Tamandua tetradactyla: one gene and its partner. The protein of the gene in region 2 interacts with the protein of the main gene of each other region in a biochemical or structural test. Links are inferred from orthologs where the notes say so. Each region holds a gene or a part of one and is shown on either strand. Other genes may lie near its edges.

Region 1 (8,720 bases), on a different chromosome or scaffold from region 2:
GGCAGTGTTGTTATCCAGAACATGATGAATACTCCCTAGGGGCTGGAAAAGATGTGGGTTAGAAATTACCAGCCCTGAGGAAATGCAGAGGGAGACTGCTTTGGCAGCAGGAGTGATTGGCTGGCTTTGGAGTGCTTTGGCTCTCTTTTTTCCCTAACAAAACCAAAGTAATGGTCTGTGACCTTTAAACCACAAGGTCTGTGATAACTGGCAGGAATCCGAGAAAGGAGATGCCCCCATTGTGTTCAGTTATCTACCTGTGATAACAGAGAATAATGCTGAAGACCAGGCACCCATCCCACCAATGTGAAAGGACAAGCTGGAAGGCACGTGCTTGGCAAATACTAAACGCACAAGGGCTACCTTTTAAGTGAATAAATCTCCGGAATCCCTAGGTGAAGAGACTTTGAAGCCCAGAGAGGAGGTTCCCAGTGCCCCAGTCTCCCCAGCTGGTCGGACAGAGCTCACAGGGCCCAGAACAAGCTCTTCCCTCCCTCTCCCTGAGGTTTTCCCGCTGCAACAGTCTGGGTTATTCTGTGAACTAAGTTCAGGGCACTCTATTCCACATCACTTCATCAGCCTCATTTCACAAAAAATGAGACTACGTGTCATAAGCAGGGAAATGTGAACTAGTATTTCTTAAGAGAGGCTGCAGACATTTTCAGAGCGCAGAAACTCTCACATGGGTAATTTTATAGCCGATCCCCCTTTAGAAAAGCGCTATCCAATACCGACTTTTCTTCACTAAGGTGCACTGGCAGCAAATTGTTTTAAGGATTTCCCAACGCCCTTCAGAAGTCGACCCCCTCCTGTGGTACTGGAAAGGATGAACTGAAGATCAAGGTTCTCTGGGAGGTGAGCCCCTGTCCTAAAAACCCATCAGAGCAGAGCTGAGATTAGAATTAGTTTGCCTAACACCTAACCCAGGGCTGTTTTGAAATGGGAGTTTCAAAGGTTAGAATTCTGGGAAAGTGCAGATAGCATTACTATGAAAAGGAGATTACAAACTTCTGATTGTGAAAAGAGGGCTTGCTCAAGGAGAAGTAGCAAAGGACCCAGGAAGTGAAAGACCCAGTATTAAAACAATTCGATTGTGCATTAAAAATAAAAGAAGCAAGAGGGAGCCAAAACGTCCACTTACAAGGAAACTGAAAACTCTAGCACAGATTTATACCAAAATAACAGTGATTGTAATAAAGTGATGGAATCATACTTTTTTCCTTTTGCTTGTCTTCCATTCACGTATTTTTGTAAAGTGCTTACATTGCATTTATAAATAATTATCCTTTAAACATAAAAGCAATTACAATCAGAGAAGGGACTGACACTCTGGGAAGAAACTGTGACCTGGAGGTCAGCCAGGAAGAGCCAGGGTAGGGTGTTTCAGTTCTGGGCGAGCAGGAGCTGCAGCAGGGCAGGACTCACGGAGATGGGCGGTGCACTCAGCTTCTGTCACCAGGAAGCCGCCTCCCAAAGAGGACAAGCGAGATTTTCTAGGTCAGGCCTGGGGGTTCGAAGCCATTGCCCCTGCCATATACTCTCCCAACTGGGCAGTGCCCCCAGGGTGACTGGGCACCCGTGGTTTGCCACTAGAACATCTAGGGATCTCCTACCAAGTGCCTGATGCACTGGAACAACTGCACTCATTGTTTAGAAAATAGGAAAAGGTGAGGCTAGGAAAACAAAAATTGCAACATAAATGTTGCCAGTGGGAGGCAGGACCAAACTCCTGTTGTTACTGATACTAAGGATGAAAAGAAGAAAATAATCATCTCCACCATAGCTCTGTTACAGGCATAATTAGATGTGCCAAGGAGAACTGCATTATGGTGTGTTTGCTCAATAGTTTTAAAGCTTGTTTTCAGAAATGGAGATCCAAAAGGGATTATAAAGTCAATGATTAAAAAGAGAAGTCAAAAGAAAAGCACACATTGGTTATAAAGAACCAGTCTTCTATTGCATGTGATGTTTAGTCCATCCAAAAGAATTCTTCTAAAAAAATTCCAGGACTACCAAAAACTTAGCTGTGGAATCACTATGACCTCACTTTCCAAGATCATTCCTACTTCCCCAAATCATTCACTTCCAAACAGATAAACATCTAGAGCTTCCAATGAGTCCTGTGGATCCTAAACCACAATCACTGCTCTTAAATAACCATCTCCTGAAACTCTGTCCCTTCCTTTACAATCACACAGCTCCTCCAGAGACACCTCTGCAGGCTCGCTGCCTCTCACAGCTGGTCAGCCTCCACGCCCCACACATTCTCCAAGGTCATTATTAATAGAAATATGTCCTGGGCCAGCACCTGTCAGGCTATGGTCCCGAATCAGCAGCTGCTTCTAAAAGAGCACCTTGTTAAAAGGGGCCCCAGCACACACCTGGTTTAGCCCTTCCTCACTTTCTCCCCGACATTCCCCCATTCCTACCACCCCCCAAATATACAGCACTATTTCTGTAATAATATTTTTGGATCTACTGCTGCAAAAAAATTCCACCCCTCAAATCTTTCAGTTCCTCTTTCAAGAAAACCTTCCATCTCTGCTTGATGAGGATTCAAGGGCTGGTTGGGCAGTTCCAGCCCAGAAATCTAATCCAGCAGAGAAGGAAGAGGGAGGCAGGAAGTTGCTGGGGTTTTTTTTAAACATTGTATTATTTCTTTTCCACTTTAAAAATCGGAGTCCTTATTTTACTCTGGTGGAGAAGCCTTATACTGGGCATATTTTCTGTAAAGTTGCTGCCTTCAGGCAACTGCAGTGTCTCCAACCGCCAGTACTTAAGGTCACTAGGAGAACAAGAATGGGGTCAAGCCATGGGTGGCTGAGTGGCAGAGTGCTTGCCTTCCATGCGGGAGACCCGGGTTCGATCCTGGGACCATACACGCCCCCCCAAAAAAGAGCACTGGGGGCCCAAAGCTGAAAGGAAATGAGGATGACCTTTCTACCCTTTTTTCCACACTAGGGATTCTCCCGCGGACTCTGGAAAGGACAATCTGAGTTGCTGGAGGAATTCCGGAGTCTCCCCCTCGGGGCATCCCCATAAACGAGGTGGGGCAAGGACAGCGCTCAAAATGCCCCAGCTCCCAGGCGCTCCACAATGCCCCTTCCCACCTCGGTTATGTGACAAGGTGTCAATTATTTGCCTAACGGTCCCTTCTCCAAACACCTTCGCCGCGCCGGCGGACGTTCGGGCCGGGGCTCCAGCGGCTGTCGACGGAAGCGCTCAAGCCGCGCACCCTCCTCCCCCCCGCGGCCCCGGGCCCGCCCGGCGCTCACCGTCTCGGGGTCGTTCTCGAACACCTCCCGCGCCTCCTCCTTGTTGCACAGCTCCTCTATGCACTCCCTCTCCAGGTGGCCCTGCTTGGCCTCCTCGAAGACCTGGTAGGCTCGGCGCTGCCTCGGCCGCAGGAACTGCGCCGCCTCGCGCGCCCGCAACAGCACCGCTGCCCCGCCACGCCGGGCCCGCGCGGCCGCCGAGGGGCCAGGGGAAGCGGGCGGGGAAGGAGCGGGGCCAGGGGCGAGGGCACGAGAGGGGAAGAGAAGAGGGAACACGGCCGTGAGGCCCGCACGCCCCGCTGCGGGCGCGGGCTCGGCGCCCTTGACCCGGGGATGCTGCGGCGGCGGGAGGTGCCCGGGGCGCGCCGCAGTCTCGGCGGCCACCTCGGCTGCGGCAGGGCGGGGCGGGGGCTGCGGGCAGGAGCGCCCGGCTTCCCGCGCCGGGGCAGAGGGGCCCGTGGGGAGGGGGCTCTGCCCCGGGTCCCCCCCGGGCCGCGGGAGCGCGCCGGGCGGTACTCACTGTGCGAGGACTCGGTGGCCAGCAGGAGCAGCAGCAGCGCGGTGCCCAGGGCGGCGGCGGGGCCGGGCTGCGGCGGCGGCATGGCGGGCGGGCGGGGGCCGGGGCCCGGGGCGGCGGCCGCGGGGGTCGGGGGAGAGCGGGGCGCCCGGCGGCGGCGGCGGCGCGGAGGAGCGGGGCGTGCGGGCCGAGAGCGCGCCTCGCGGTCAGAGCGCCCGGGAGGCCCCGGCGAGCCGCGGGCGCCGCGGGAGAGACGCTCCTCTCATCTTGTCCAATCGGTTCTGAAGTTCACATCCCGGCGGCCGCGCGGAAGCGCACCTAGGGCGCTGCTCGGCGTCTGTGCGCGGCGGGAGGCGCGGGGGGAGGCGGTGCCGGCGCGGGAGGGGCCGGGGGCGGCCGCGGGGCAGTCCCGACCTCCGCTGACGGCGCGCCGGGCACCGGGCGGGGGCCGCGCCGAGCTCCGCGAGCGCTTTGCAGAACCCCCGAGTTGTTTTCAGTCGGAAAGATCAAAAGGGTGAAGAGGGAGAAAAAAAACGAAACGCAATCAGGAACGTGGCGACTTCAACACAGGGCTTAGACTAGGGTATCCTAGGAGAAGGGGCTTCTCCCAAATCAATGACTGAGTTTATTCATGCTGCGATGAAAAAAAAAATTTGTTTTTTGATTTAAAAAAAGAGAAAAGCAATACCCAGATACAGCATAACCAGGTACGAATTCATTTTCTAGGTACAATTAAATCTCTTTCCCAACTTCTTTCCCCCTCCACCAAGTAAGCATCTATCACATTCTTTTCCAGTTTTCACAAGATTTAAAACCCACCGAAGAAAAGGTAAACTGAGGTCAAAATTAATCTCATCTGGGTTCAGGAAGCAAGATTAATTTATTTTCTTCCGTAATCTCTGTTTTCCATAATGATATTCAAAACCTTGAGATTTCCCAAGTAGATATGTAGCCGAAAGTAACATTGTGCTTGTCCTCAGCGACCGTGATTTTCCGTCTCTTTGTCACAAAGTTATAGGCAAAAAACCAAACAGAAAAACAGCCAACCACCTAAACCAAACCGGCGCAGACCGCTGGCAGCGAGCCCTGCAGCCCCCGCGTGGAGGAGGGGCGCGCTGGGGACCCTCCCGCCTCCGAGATCCCACGCACCCCACACGGCGCTGAAGATCCAGAGCGAGTCTTTCCCCACGCTGGTCGTTTTGCTCGTGGGTTCTACACCGAAATCCCGGGATCTCAGTTTCCTCTCGCCCCTCCGTGGCGGGCAGATGGAGCGCCATTGCTGGTAGGAGGTCGTTGGTGTCAAGATGGTGTTACCATATTAAATTCGGGAAGACGAATGTCCCTGACAACGATTTTCAAGGGAGAATTAAATTCTTAGTAGATAAGTTAGATTTGCCAGTGGGGGCTGGAAACGCACGCCGAGTGATGGGAGCTGCGCTGATTTCCCTATGCTGCTTCAGCCGGGCAAACACCCTGGCGTTTAAAGGAATTTTATTAATTTGCCTGTTTGGTGTTCTTAATGAGCATTACTGGCTTACAATCTGGGTGGGGGGATACATTCTTGAGTCGTTCATCAAAAGGCTCTTTAATCAGTTAGTTCATTAGTCCATCCATTCACAAGGTGAGTAGTTAATAGAGCCTGCGCTGTGTGCCGACTGCGGTCTAGAAACTTTCCCATACTGTATCCTACTTGTTCCAACCCAACAGCCGGTGCTTAGACTTCAGGGAGTCTGTAGACTCCCGGAAACTGTTTGCAATTATTTTTGGAAATTTTGTTTGTTTATTTTCGGAGGAGAGGGTTTGTAGAGTCTAGGCAGTCCTGAGAATGTTGACCCAAATGAAAGGGAGCATCACTGGATTCCACAGTTTCTTCTCGTTCTTGGGCCCATCGCTTCAGATGATCGGTGTTAGGCTGCTGAAGACTGTGAGATCCCCGGGCCTTGCTGACCTCCTTTAGCCTGGACCTCACCCACTTCCCCATATTCCTGATTCACCCCCTTTTATTGAGCTAGCATCCCAATAACAATAATACCTTCTATCATGTAGAGATTTGCTTTAATAAAATGCATTCGCATGCACTTGCTCATTTTGATTTTAATGACTGGGGAACTCAGAAGGCCAGTAGGGGGAGCAATGGAGGATGTCTGACCCAAGCTGACTCCCATTCTCCAACTTACTTACCAAGGCAGAAAATTTGTTCTAAGGCAGAAATGGAAAATGGACAATTTGGATAGTGTGTTCTAAAAATGGAAAGTGTTGTCAGGCACTGTATTATATACCCTGAAATAGAGTTGGTGAAATAGACAGTTCACCTCTGCAAGAGGCAGGAGGCTAGCCCCAGAGCAATGAATGTTTTATATGCACGGTTAACCAGTCTGTAGTCAGGAAGACCGAGAGCTCGCGGCTCTTCTTTCCAGGGATGACCTGGAGTGAGCTGGTGGAGATGGGATGGGAGTGAGGGTATAGGAAATGGCGTATCTGTAGAGAAATCAAAGTTCTGCATTCTCCTTTCTATCTCCTTTCATCTAAGGATGATGATTCCAAAGGAATAAGGCCATCCATTCATTTATTCACTTAATAAATGTGAGTTGGATAGCTGTTATTTTGTCCTGAGTCACTGTTCTGGGTGCTGAACAAGTTTTTTGTTTTGTTTTGTTTTTTGAAAAGCTTTACTGAGGTATAAGTGAGAAAAAATAAACTGAACAAATAAATTTTGACATCTGTGATCAAAGTCTACATCTGTGAAACCATTGCCACAATCAAGTTAGGCATATCCATTATCCAGAAGATGTTTTCTCGTGCCCCTTGTCTGCTGGAATTTTGAAAGGGATTGCATAGAATCTGTAGATCACTTTGGTAGTGTTGGTATCTTAATATTAAGCCTTCCAAGCCATGAACATAACTCCTTGTCATTTATTTAGATTTTTAGTTTCTTTCAGTAAGATTTTATAGTTTTCTGTATATAAATTTCACGTCCATAGTTAAATTTATTCCTAGATATTGTACTCTTCTAGTTATTATTGTAAATGAAATTGTTTTCTTAATTTCCTCTTTGTATTGTTCCGTCACGAATGTATAGAAACACAATGGATTTTTGTTTGTTGATCTTGTACCCTGTCATTTTGTTGAATTTGTTTACAGTTCTGGTAGTTTTCTTGTGTATTTGTTTGGGTTTTCATTATGTAACAGGATGTTGTCTGCAAATAGAGATAGTTTACATCTTCCTTTCCAATCTGGATGACTTTAATTTCTTTTCTTTCTTAATTGCTCAAACTAGAACATCTGGTACAATTTTGAATAGCAGCAGTGAAAGTGGACATTCTTGTCTTATTCCTAATGTTAGGAGAAAGCTTTCAGTCTTTCACCATTGAGTATGACCTTAGCTATGGGCTTCTCATAACTGACATTTATCATGTTGAGAAAGTTGGGTGTTTTTATTAAGAAAGTTGCTGGATTTTGCCAAATGCCTTTTCTGTGTCTATTGAGAGAATCATGTGGGATTTTTTTTCCTTTGTTCTTCGTTTCTTGCAGCAGATTTTTGCTTAAATTCTGTTTTGTCTCATCTTAGGATCAGACAGCTCTCTTTTGGCTACTGTTTCCAAGGAATATTTTTTCTCATCCGTTCACTTTTGACAGGCTTGTCTTTGAAATAAGATGAATCCCTTGTATATAGCATATTATTGGATCATGCTTCTTTATCCATTCTGCCAAATTTGCATTTTGATTGGTGAGTATAATCCACTTACATTTAAGGTAATTATAGATAAGGGAAGACTTACTTCCGCCATTCTGTTAATTATGTTTATTTTGTATTATACTTTTTTGTCCTTCCTTTCTATTATTGTTTAGATGACCTCCTGTAATGAACCATTTTGAATCACTTCTCGTTTCCCTTTGTAGAAATATTTTAAATTTATTTATTTATTTATTTATTTATTTATTTTCCCAAAACCAAGGCTAATGCTTGTGCTGGGCCCTTAGAGATCTCCCAGACTGAAACACGCACACACACACAGAGACAGAGAGAAAGAAAGAAAACAAACCCAAAAAGTGTTAAAAGGCACACTGGTTTTTTATGTCCCAGTGGATGCTAATGGGAGGTCAGAAGCCATTGCTACCAAGAAGCCAAAACCAAGGCTAATGCCTGCCCTGTCTCCCAGACATCCACCAGATAAAAAAAAAAAAAAAAAAAAACACTAGAAAAAGAAAGAAAGATAACCAACCACTTAAAAGGTGCATTGGCTCTTTATGTCCCAGTAGAGCTGGTATGAGGCCAGAAGCCGCCCCTGCTGAGAGAGCCAAAACTGAGGCCAGCATCCTTGCTGGACCTTTAGGAATCTTGGAAGACAAGGTTTCTTCTGCCCTGGCCCCACCCAGCCACACGCAGGATCTAGGTCACCGTTTCCACCGGCGTGGCTCAGGGCATGGGAATAGGGTGGTCCCTTTGTCTGGCACTCCTGTGGTCGTTCTGAACGTCCAGTCTGGTTCCAGGGTTGCCACCTAGTTCATCCAGTCTCTGTTTACAGCTCTTTCATTTTACTGATGGCAAAACAATCTGTACAACTTCCTACTTCACCTTTTTACTTCTGTGCTCCTCCTGTAACACCTACTATTTTTTATTGAGTAACCTTTGGTTTTGCATCTGTTAAGGGATTTGTGTGATTCATTGGCTTAAAGTTCTTCAGAATATTCCCTTAACACCCTTTAAATATCTGACACCTCTCTCACTCCTGGTGTCGATTATTTTGTCTTTTCTCATTTTGGCTAATCAGTCTGGCTAGAGATTTAACAATTTAATTGATCTCAAATAACTAGTTTTTGGTTTTGTTGATCTATTTTTCTTCTATTTTTATCGTTATCCAATCTAATCTTTATCATTTCCTTTCTTCTGCTTACATTGGATTTCTTTTGCTCTGCTTTATCTAGTT
Region 2 (8,808 bases):
AACACAAAGAGGGGCTGACACAGGCTGACCCTGGTCTCCTGAGTCACACACTCACACACACAGTCCCTGGGAAACTTACAGGGATATACCATAAAAACCCAGACACACAGTGGGACAGACACACAAGCGGACAGAAACATACTTAGACACATGTCCCCCCCACCCCATACACACACTGGGGCATCCAGAGAAGCTGGCCCTCGCTAAGGCATGTCCCCATTCGAAGAGGATGACGCTGACAGAAGCGCTGACACACAGATCCAGGGAGACGGGGACACACCCCCACACTGAGACACACGCACACAGACCCGCTTGACCTCTCCTCCACACGTACTGATCCACACACAGAGGCTCTCACACCTGGGCCTCACCACTCCCCCATTTCTCCTTTTTCCTTGGAAGGGAGTTGGGGGTGGATGGTTACCCCTCCCCCATCCTGGGGGTCCTGCCAGGCTGACTCAGACCCCATCCCTGTCCCCACCCGGCCATTCGAGCCACAGGCCTGAGTCACCCCTCTGGGGGCCGACGTGCTCACCGCTTCCTAACACACTCACGGCCCCCGGAATGCTGGGAATCTGGGCACCTCCCTGCACCCGGGAAGACCCTCAGCCTCCCCATTCCTCCCCACCCCAGCAGACAGAGGCAGCAGGTTGGGGTGCAGGGAGCGATAACCCTCAGGCCTCCCCATTCGTGCACCTCTATCCCATCCCACCTCCCTCGAGGACAGGACACCCACCATGGCCCCCGGCTCTGCCTCTGACCACCGTGTGACCCCAAGCTAGGTCCTGCCCCACTGGGTGGTCACTTGAGGCTGGGGGGTGGGGTTCTCCAATCACTTAGACTTTCCTTGTCCTGCCTCCTTCTTCTTGGACCACCTCTGGGTCCGTCTGTCTTTCCCTCTCTGTAACTGTTTTTCTCTGTCTCCCCATTCGTCCCTCCCTCTCTGTTTTGGGCTCTGTGTCCCTGGGGGCCCTGGGCTGGTCTTGAGAGGTCTTGAGGTGGGAGGAGGGCAGGTGGGGGCGGGGCGGAGAGGAGACCCCGGTGGTTCCGGGGTCCAGGTTGGGGTCAGGGGCTGACAGAGGGCACCAGGCCCACACACGGCTCAGAGGACATCCGGGACAAAGAAGTCTATTCACAGAGAGGCTGGGCTGAATGGAGGAAGAACGAGCAGAGAAACACACAGAGATGAGCGAGACACCCAGAAACAGTGAGAAAGAAATGGAAAGATGGGGACGGAGATGGGTGGCAGAGAGACAGAAACAGAGAGAGATATACGGACAGAAACAAGGAGGCAGATGGGGACAGGGATGCAGAGACAGCGACAGAGACAAAGAGATACAGAAACAGAGACAGAGATACACAGAGCAGGCAAGAGGGCCCGGCAGACACGCAGAGGCAGTGAACCATGTCTGCACCGCCCCCTTCCCTGGCTGGGCCGGGCCGGGCTCACCTGCGACTTGCAGAGTTTGGTGGGGGCCTTGGTGCGAGGCCCAGGCCACGGGAGCAGCGTCCTGCAGCCAGAGTAGGTCCACGGGCTCTGGGGGTCCCTGGGCCCGGCAGGTCAGGTTAAAGGGGGTGTCGGCAGCCACAGCCCTGTCCTCAGGCTCCTCCAGGAAGTAAGGCAGGCCTGGGGGGCGGGGATGGCAGGCAGGGGTCCAAGCTGAGGTCTCTGAGCACCGCCCCCCCAGGTGTCTATGTTGGAGGCTTCAGGACTGTCCCCATCTGACACACTCCCTGCCAAAGACCCTGCCTCACCCTCAGATGTCTGACACCCTGCCCCCCAGGTGTCTTTCCAACCCTTAGGACATAAGGTCCCAATGTCTGACCCCTCCCCTTAACCTCTGACCCCCCAAATCTCTCCTCCAGAATGCCTGACTCATCCTCACCTCCTTATCTGAGTCTACAGAATGTCTTGCTCCCACCATGTCTGGCCCGGCAGGCAGACCTATCATCCCTGTCCCCTCCCCTGGCCAGAATTTATGGCCCCCCAGCTTCCCGATCCCTTAAAATCGCTGACAGTCCTAGGCTAGATGCGCCCGGACCCCCAGGGCTCACCCTCCAGCCCCACATAGCCAGGCCGGGACAGGAAGGCCCCTCCTTCCAGGACCACCATACACTGGTATCGCCCAGCATCCGACAGCTGCAGGGACAAGATCCTGGTGGGGCAAGACGGGGGCAGAGAGGTGCAGGGTCAGAGCTGGGCACTGGGAGGGGCTGGTCAGAACCGGAAGAGGGGCCTCTGGACTGGGAAGCGGAAAGAACCGTGGAGGAGGTTCTATTATTATCCCATTTTACAGAAGAAGAAAGTGAAACCCAGAGGTTCTGTGACACACTTCATGCCCCACAGCTAGGAAGTGGTCAGGCTGGGATTCCAACCCAGGTGGCCGGGCTGCAGGCGGGCTGTGATAGGGGTAGGGGTCGGGGACGACAGGGACCAGGAGGGGTGCAGGGGCCGGGAAGAAACTGGACACCTGAGTTGGCTGACCACCTTCCAGTCGTCCTCGCCGTCCTCACCCAGGGGCACCTGGATCTGGGTGCTCTCCGCCAGCTCCAGGATCTGTCCGTCCTGAAGCCAGTTCACCTCGGGGGGCTCCTGGTGAACGTGGAGCTCACACTGCAGCGTCCCCGTCAGGCCCCGGGCCCCCGTGATGTTTCCTGGGCTCCTCACAAAGGGATCCGCTGCAGCAGCCTGTGCACCTGCAGGGTGGATGGGACAGGTTGGCTGAAAGGCCCCCACTTCCCTCTGCACCCCTTCCTGCCCCCCCCCCCGCTGCCCACCCACTGCCAGGACACCCCCCCCCCAAGCCCTCAGGCCCACATAGTTGTAGGGTGACCTCAGAGGCCAGTGGAGGGTGGAGGCTCTGGGGGCAGGATGGGCGCCTTCCTAGGCACTGGGGTCCGTTCAGAAGGAAGCGGGGTCTGGTAGCCCCCACAGCCTGGAGGCCCAGCAGGGCCAGCCCTGCCCTCACTTGGGGTCTCCGGAGACCAAACAGCTCAGGCTTCGTGGATGGAGGGGAAGAAAAGGGCAGGGGAGGGAGAAGAAACATAAGAGAGACAGAGAGAGAAGCCCGAGAAAGCCAGGCACGGGGTACCGAGACAGAAAGAGAGACTTTCCTGAGAGTGAAGGGAAAAGAGGAGAAATACACAGAGGGGGACTGCAACAGAAGAGAGACACACACACAGAGAAATCGAGGCAGAGAGAGACTCAGAGATGAATAGGGAGAGAGAAAGAGCCAGAGAGATAGGGCTCCTTTCTGGAAGATTCCTTCGGGTGCTCCCCAGCTCAGCCCCTCTTCCCAGGACCCCAGACTCAAATGCAGCCCCCACCAGCTCCCTCAGCTTTCGCCTTGTCCTCCCCTACTCCTTTCTGTCCGTGTCCTCCTCCTTCAGTTTTTGTTTCTTGTCCATGTTCCTCTCTTGAGTCTCTTCCTCCCCCTCTCTCTTGGTTTGTCTCGAGTCTCTGTCCTTCCCTGCCTCCCTCTCACAGTCCGTTTCTCTCGTCCGAAGGAAACACTCTGAGCCAGCCCAGGAATCGCCCCCAACACCTGCCATCCACCCCCCTCTCACCGCTCCTGCCCCCCATCCCCCATGCCCCCCCCCCCCCCCGCCACCGGTGGTCCTGCCCCACCGGCCCCCACCACTCACCCCTGGGGGCCGCGCACCCCCAGCACCAGAGCGCCAAGCACCAGGCCAGAGGGACCCTGCCCATCCTCGGGCCACCGCAAAACCGATGCCGAACTTTCCTCAGAAGTTGCTGGGCACCCCGCGGGGGAGGGGGCAGGGACAGGCAGTCCCCGGCCCTCCCCCCAGCTCCCGGGGTCTGGCACTGGCCGCCTGGCACGGTGGGGGCCCTCGGCCGGCTCTGCTCCGGCGCCTTCCAGGCTCTCCTGCCTCCTTCTCTTGCTCCCAGACTTCGGGAAACCCTTTCCCCGCCCCTGGCTCCCTCCTCCCCCTGCCTCCGCCCACTGCTCAAGCCCAGGGGGCCAGCTGGTCAGTGAGGGGTTAAGGCGGAGAGGAGGGGTCCAGCCCGGTCTTAAAGGGGCCCTGGGGGGAAGCTGAGGAGGGGGAAAGAGTCCCTTGTGGCTGCGCCTCTCATCCTGGAGCGGTGAGGCAGGGAGGCTGTGTGTCTCCGTGTCCCAGCTCTGGGCGCTGTCCCTCTGGGCTCTCTCTGTGTCTGGTAAACATTCCTCCACGACTCCCCTCCCCCAGCTGTCCCCCACCCAGCCCAGCCACAGCCAGGCCTCCCCAGGCCCTTCACTCCCCCTCACACTCAGAGCTCCTGGGACAAGGACACATACGCACGCTCAGACACGGACCTGCAGAGGCTGGGACAGGCAGAGACACGCAGGGGACCCAGGACTCGCAGGGGCACGCTGTCCGCCCACAGGCACGCTCAGGAGAGCCGGGTGAGGGACTCAGCTCCCGGAGAAACCTCTGCAGCGGGGACACCTGGGACCTATGGACCCTCAGACACATAAGGTGCAGACATGCATACGCACACGTGCACACACGTACACACACACACACAGTCAGACATACCAGAAGACAGGCATGCTCCCAGGTCGGCGAGCATTCGAGTCAAAGGCGTGGGAAAAACACCCAGACACACATATAGGCAGAGAGCCTAGAAACATCGACAGGGACAGGCAGATGTGGAGGGAAATGGAGTCACAGGTGTACCTGGAAATACTGATCCACGGACATGGGGAAACTTGAGTGTGTTCAGCTACACAGAAACGCTCACAGACATGCCCGGGACCATTCCTGCAAGGAAGCCAGAGTGGTGTGCAGGTAGCAACAGCAGCTCCTGGTGTAAGCCCACCCCCCAGCCCTGGGCCCTGTACCTTCCCCGACAAGCCCCCTCCTGCCAACAGGCCCTGACCCCATGAACTGTCTGTTCCAGGGAAACAGAGGGACTGGACTGGTGGCTCCTTGGCTCCATCTCCACCCCCTCAGTGCTGGGCCTCCCCAGAAGTGTGATGGAGCAGACAGAACCCCAGACAGGGAGATGGAGTGGGAGTGGGAGTGGGGTGGTCAGGCTCCTGGATTTGCTATGCGGCATTGGACTTGGATTACAACAGCAATGTGGGCTCCGTGGGGCGATGTCTGGGTCTTCTCTGGGCCCTTCCCTGAGGACACCTTGGTGCCCTGTGGTCGGCATAAGACCAGGCCGGTGTAGGCGGGTGAAACCCCTGGGGCAGTCTAGCCTGCTGGGTAAGATCTGAGCCTTGGCATCCCCCAGACATCGGGGTTGGAACCCCAGCTCTATCATTAACCACCAGTGACCTTGGGCAAGTGACTGCTCCCCGGGCCTCGGTTAGTCCATCTGTAAAATGGGAGCAAGCAGAGAACCCCCCCTCAGCAGGCTGGAAGGGCAGGCAGATAACCTAGCCAAGGCACCCATTGTCCTTAGCAAGTGGGACTGGCACTGACAAGGCACCGGTGGCTCTCTTGGCAGCTCAGCTCTGTGCTCTGGGGTTGCAGGCTGGCCTAGCGGGATTGTGTCCCAGAGGCGCAGAGCCGGCGCCTCTGTGTGTCATCTGTGTCCCTAGGTTTTGCATACAGTGGTCTGCGGGAGAGTGGGCTGGGAGCAATTTCTCTGCTCCCGGCCTCTACTGCACACCTCAAAGTCCTACCTATTTCACCCCCATTTCACCTCCAATGCCTTCCACCCCACAGGGTCCAGCCCCAGCCTCTCCCACCCGGGCCCCTGCCCTGTCCTCCCCTCTTGCTCCCTCCACCCTGCTTCCCGCCCACCCCGCAGGCAGAGGGCTGTTTCTGAAATACAAGACTGGGTCTCCTGCTTAACCTTGGCCTCCCTCACTGCCTGCGAGGTGAGCTCCCAGCTACTAGGCAGGTCCAGCCTCGCTGAGCTGTCTCATTTATGTCCCATTTCAGCTTCTGTCTTAACTTCCAAGGCTGACCCTTCAGGGCAGGCCCCACCCTGCAGTCAGTTCTCAAGTCCTAGGGTCAGCCTCACAAACCTCTCCCCATCCCTTTACCCCTTCCCAATCCCTTCCTGCTGGGGTCCTGCCCTCCGGGCTGCCCCTCTCTCTCCAGCCCATCTCCCAACCGGGCCGTGTTTTTTCAATCCCCAGTGAAACCCTTTCCCCCTCTTGCCCAGCCTTCCACGACAACCCCCCAAACTCTTTATTGAGGCCTTTTTTAAAGTCCCCTTATCTCCACTGGACACTCCCTCCCCCCTCCCCAGGCTTCTTTCACTTCCTGACCCAAACAGCCTCCTCCCAGGCCCCAGAGCCTCCCCAGCCAGCTCCTCAGCCCTCTCTGGAGTGGCTGCCTGCCCCCCACCCCCAAGTCTAATCTAGGTCCCATGTTGCTCACTCTTACGCCCTGTCCTTTTCTTTGGCAACACTGCATGGGCTATCATGACGTATTTATTGGTGTGATTATGTGTCTCATGTCTGTCTCCTCCTGCTGGTCTCTGGGATGCTACGAGGGCAGGGATTGGGTATCTTCATCCCCACCACCCTTTAGAAGGGCTGCCATAAATGAATAATTGTGGCATTTTTGGAGGGGCAGGGGGAGTTGCAAATATGTTCAAAAGTCTCTCTTCACTTGTGTGAATCTGCTGGGGATTCCATATTCTAGGGGGAAGAGAGACGACAATCATAAATATTCATCAGGGGGGTGAGATGGGCAGTGAAGAAAAATAAAGCAGGGGGAGGATGGGGAAGGGTAGGTGTGCCATTTTAGAGAGGGCAGTAGACTGAGATCTAAAGTAGATTAGGAAATGAACCATGTGGGGGAAGAGTGTTTCAGGCAGAAGGAACAGCCAATGCAAAGGCTCAGAGGCAGGAGCTGCAGGAAGACAACTGTGGCCTGAGCAGATGAATTGGGGGGGGGGGTGGAAGAGGAAGGAGGTGAGATCAGAGACCAATCCTGTTGTTCAGTGTCTTGGCCTGGCGTGGACTTGGGCTTTTATTCTAACTTGATGGGAGCCACGGGGAGGTGGGGGGACAGTGGGGGAGCAGGGGAGAGAACAGGTTTGATTCATATTTTTAAAGGATTCCTCTACTTAGGCTAGAAAGTGAAAGGTTGATGAGGAAGTTCCTCACGGAGAGATTAGGAACTGGACCATCAAACTTCAGCATCCCAAACTATGGGACCACCAGTGATTGTGATGTGACACAACAAGGGATCTGGCATCTTTTGGGCAATTCCCAGTTCACAGGAGGTCCTGGAGTGAAGGACACTTTAAACAGCACCATAAAGATGCTGTCAGCCAAATCCAGAATATGAGAACGTGTACACAACAAAAGACTGATTTCCGCCGTCCCCCACCGAGAAATAACATAAAAAAGGTTGGAGGAGGGGAAAAAAGAAGATAAAATCGAAATAAAAAAGGGTGAGGAACTAATTTAAAAACCCAAAGTGACGTTTCAAACGAGAGCTCTGTGTGGTGGGCCTTTCTTTGCATCCTTATTTGAGCAAGTCAACTCTAAACTACATTTATGAGGCCAGTGAGAACATTATATTTGTATTTGATATTACAGAATTGACAGCTGTGATTGGCATGACCACAGGATGTAGTTTTGATTTTTAAAGTCAACCTTGGCTAATGATAAATGCATTATCCAAGTATTAGGGGAAGGGGCACTGATGTCTGTAGTTCCCTTCAAAAAGCATGAAAGAGCTGAGATAGACGGTCAGGTGGCTAGAAATGTGAGAAAGCAATGTAGCAAAATGCTGGTGGGAGAACCTGGGAAATGGCACATGGGCATTCCCCGTAAAGTCCTTCTATTTTTCTTTCTCTGTGTTTGAAAATGTTCATAATACAATATTGGGGGCAGAATGTTCTTAGCGGTTAGAGCTGCATATTGATTATTTTCTGGGAGGTGCTTGAAAATAATCTTAAACAATGTGATAGGTGAAATCAAGGGACAGATGAAATAAAAATAGCAAGAAGTTGATGAGTTTTAATGGGGGAGGGTGATGGGGACAGGAGGGTCATCGGGCCGTTCTCTCTCCTTGGGGTGTGTTTAAAAACTGCCATGCTCTATAGCAAATAAAAAGACGCCTCTGGTTTCCCGGACAAGAGAAGACAGAAAAAAAGGGCGGTGGGAGAAGCACGCAGAGGGGCTGTAAGTCTCTGCTTTCGGACTCGGGGAGTTCCCAGGGCGTGGGCTGGCTTTTCCCAGGCCTGCAGCCCAGCTTGGGTGAGGCTGGAGCCCTTCTCCCTGCACCCCCTTCCCCGCCCGGGCCCAGCCCTCCCCCTCCTTGGCCCCCACACCGGGCTCCACATCTGGTGCTGATGTCAACAGCCAGGGTGGGTGGGGACCATGTTTTTCGGCTCCAGCCCGGCCTCGGGGGAGGGGACTGGGAGGGGTTTCAGACACGGCCACAAATCCACACGCGTCACAAACCCACACGCAGGCCAGAAACCCTTTTATTGCAACGGGAGGACCTTCAAGTCACAGAGGGGCCAGGCCCAGCCTCTCCCTCAGCCCCCCTGAGCCCCTTCCGCTGGGTCTAGCTGGGACTTGGACTCTGGGGCTTGTCTGGGAGAAGAGGCTTTGTGGGGGGCGGCCCTGAAGGCCCCTGTGTGACCCAAATCCCCTGGATCCCAGCGCCCGGCAAGCACAGCTGCAGACCGGGCACGTGTTTGTGTTTGGGAGACTCTGGGACAGTGGAGAGTTGGGGGAGCAGGGCTTGAGGGCTGAGGGTGGGACGGAGTGGGTGGTGACTCTCCGTGGGAGGAAAATACTCGGGGGAGGGGCTACCACTACCACGGCGCCCCACGTCCACTGTCCTGTCCGTGTGACTCAATGGCTGGGGAGTGTGGCGGGT

Evidence for each region.
Region 1: the proteins of AXL (region 2) and GAS6 form a complex in vitro, tested with the Homo sapiens proteins (2 studies listed by BioGRID and IntAct, with this or other methods). The link is inferred for Tamandua tetradactyla from reciprocal best matches to the Homo sapiens genes AXL and GAS6.

The regions. Positions count from the first base shown.
Region 1 is NC_135343.1:75,407,905-75,416,624, reverse strand, and holds the start of GAS6 (growth arrest-specific protein 6), read right to left. Parts: upstream 3,878-8,720; coding exon 3,796-3,877; intron 3,443-3,795; coding exon 3,276-3,442; intron 1-3,275. UniProt on the Homo sapiens protein: Ligand for tyrosine-protein kinase receptors AXL, TYRO3 and MER whose signaling is implicated in cell growth and survival, cell adhesion and cell migration.
Region 2 is NC_135342.1:22,536,760-22,545,567, forward strand, and holds the start of AXL (tyrosine-protein kinase receptor UFO), read right to left. Parts: upstream 4,034-8,808; 5' UTR 3,710-4,033; coding exon 3,646-3,709; intron 3,480-3,645; exon of another isoform or gene 3,328-3,479; intron 2,698-3,327; coding exon 2,472-2,697; intron 2,157-2,471; coding exon 2,056-2,156; intron 1,628-2,055; coding exon 1,451-1,627; intron 1-1,450. UniProt on the Homo sapiens protein: Receptor tyrosine kinase that transduces signals from the extracellular matrix into the cytoplasm by binding growth factor GAS6 and which is thus regulating many physiological processes including cell survival, cell proliferation, migration and differentiation.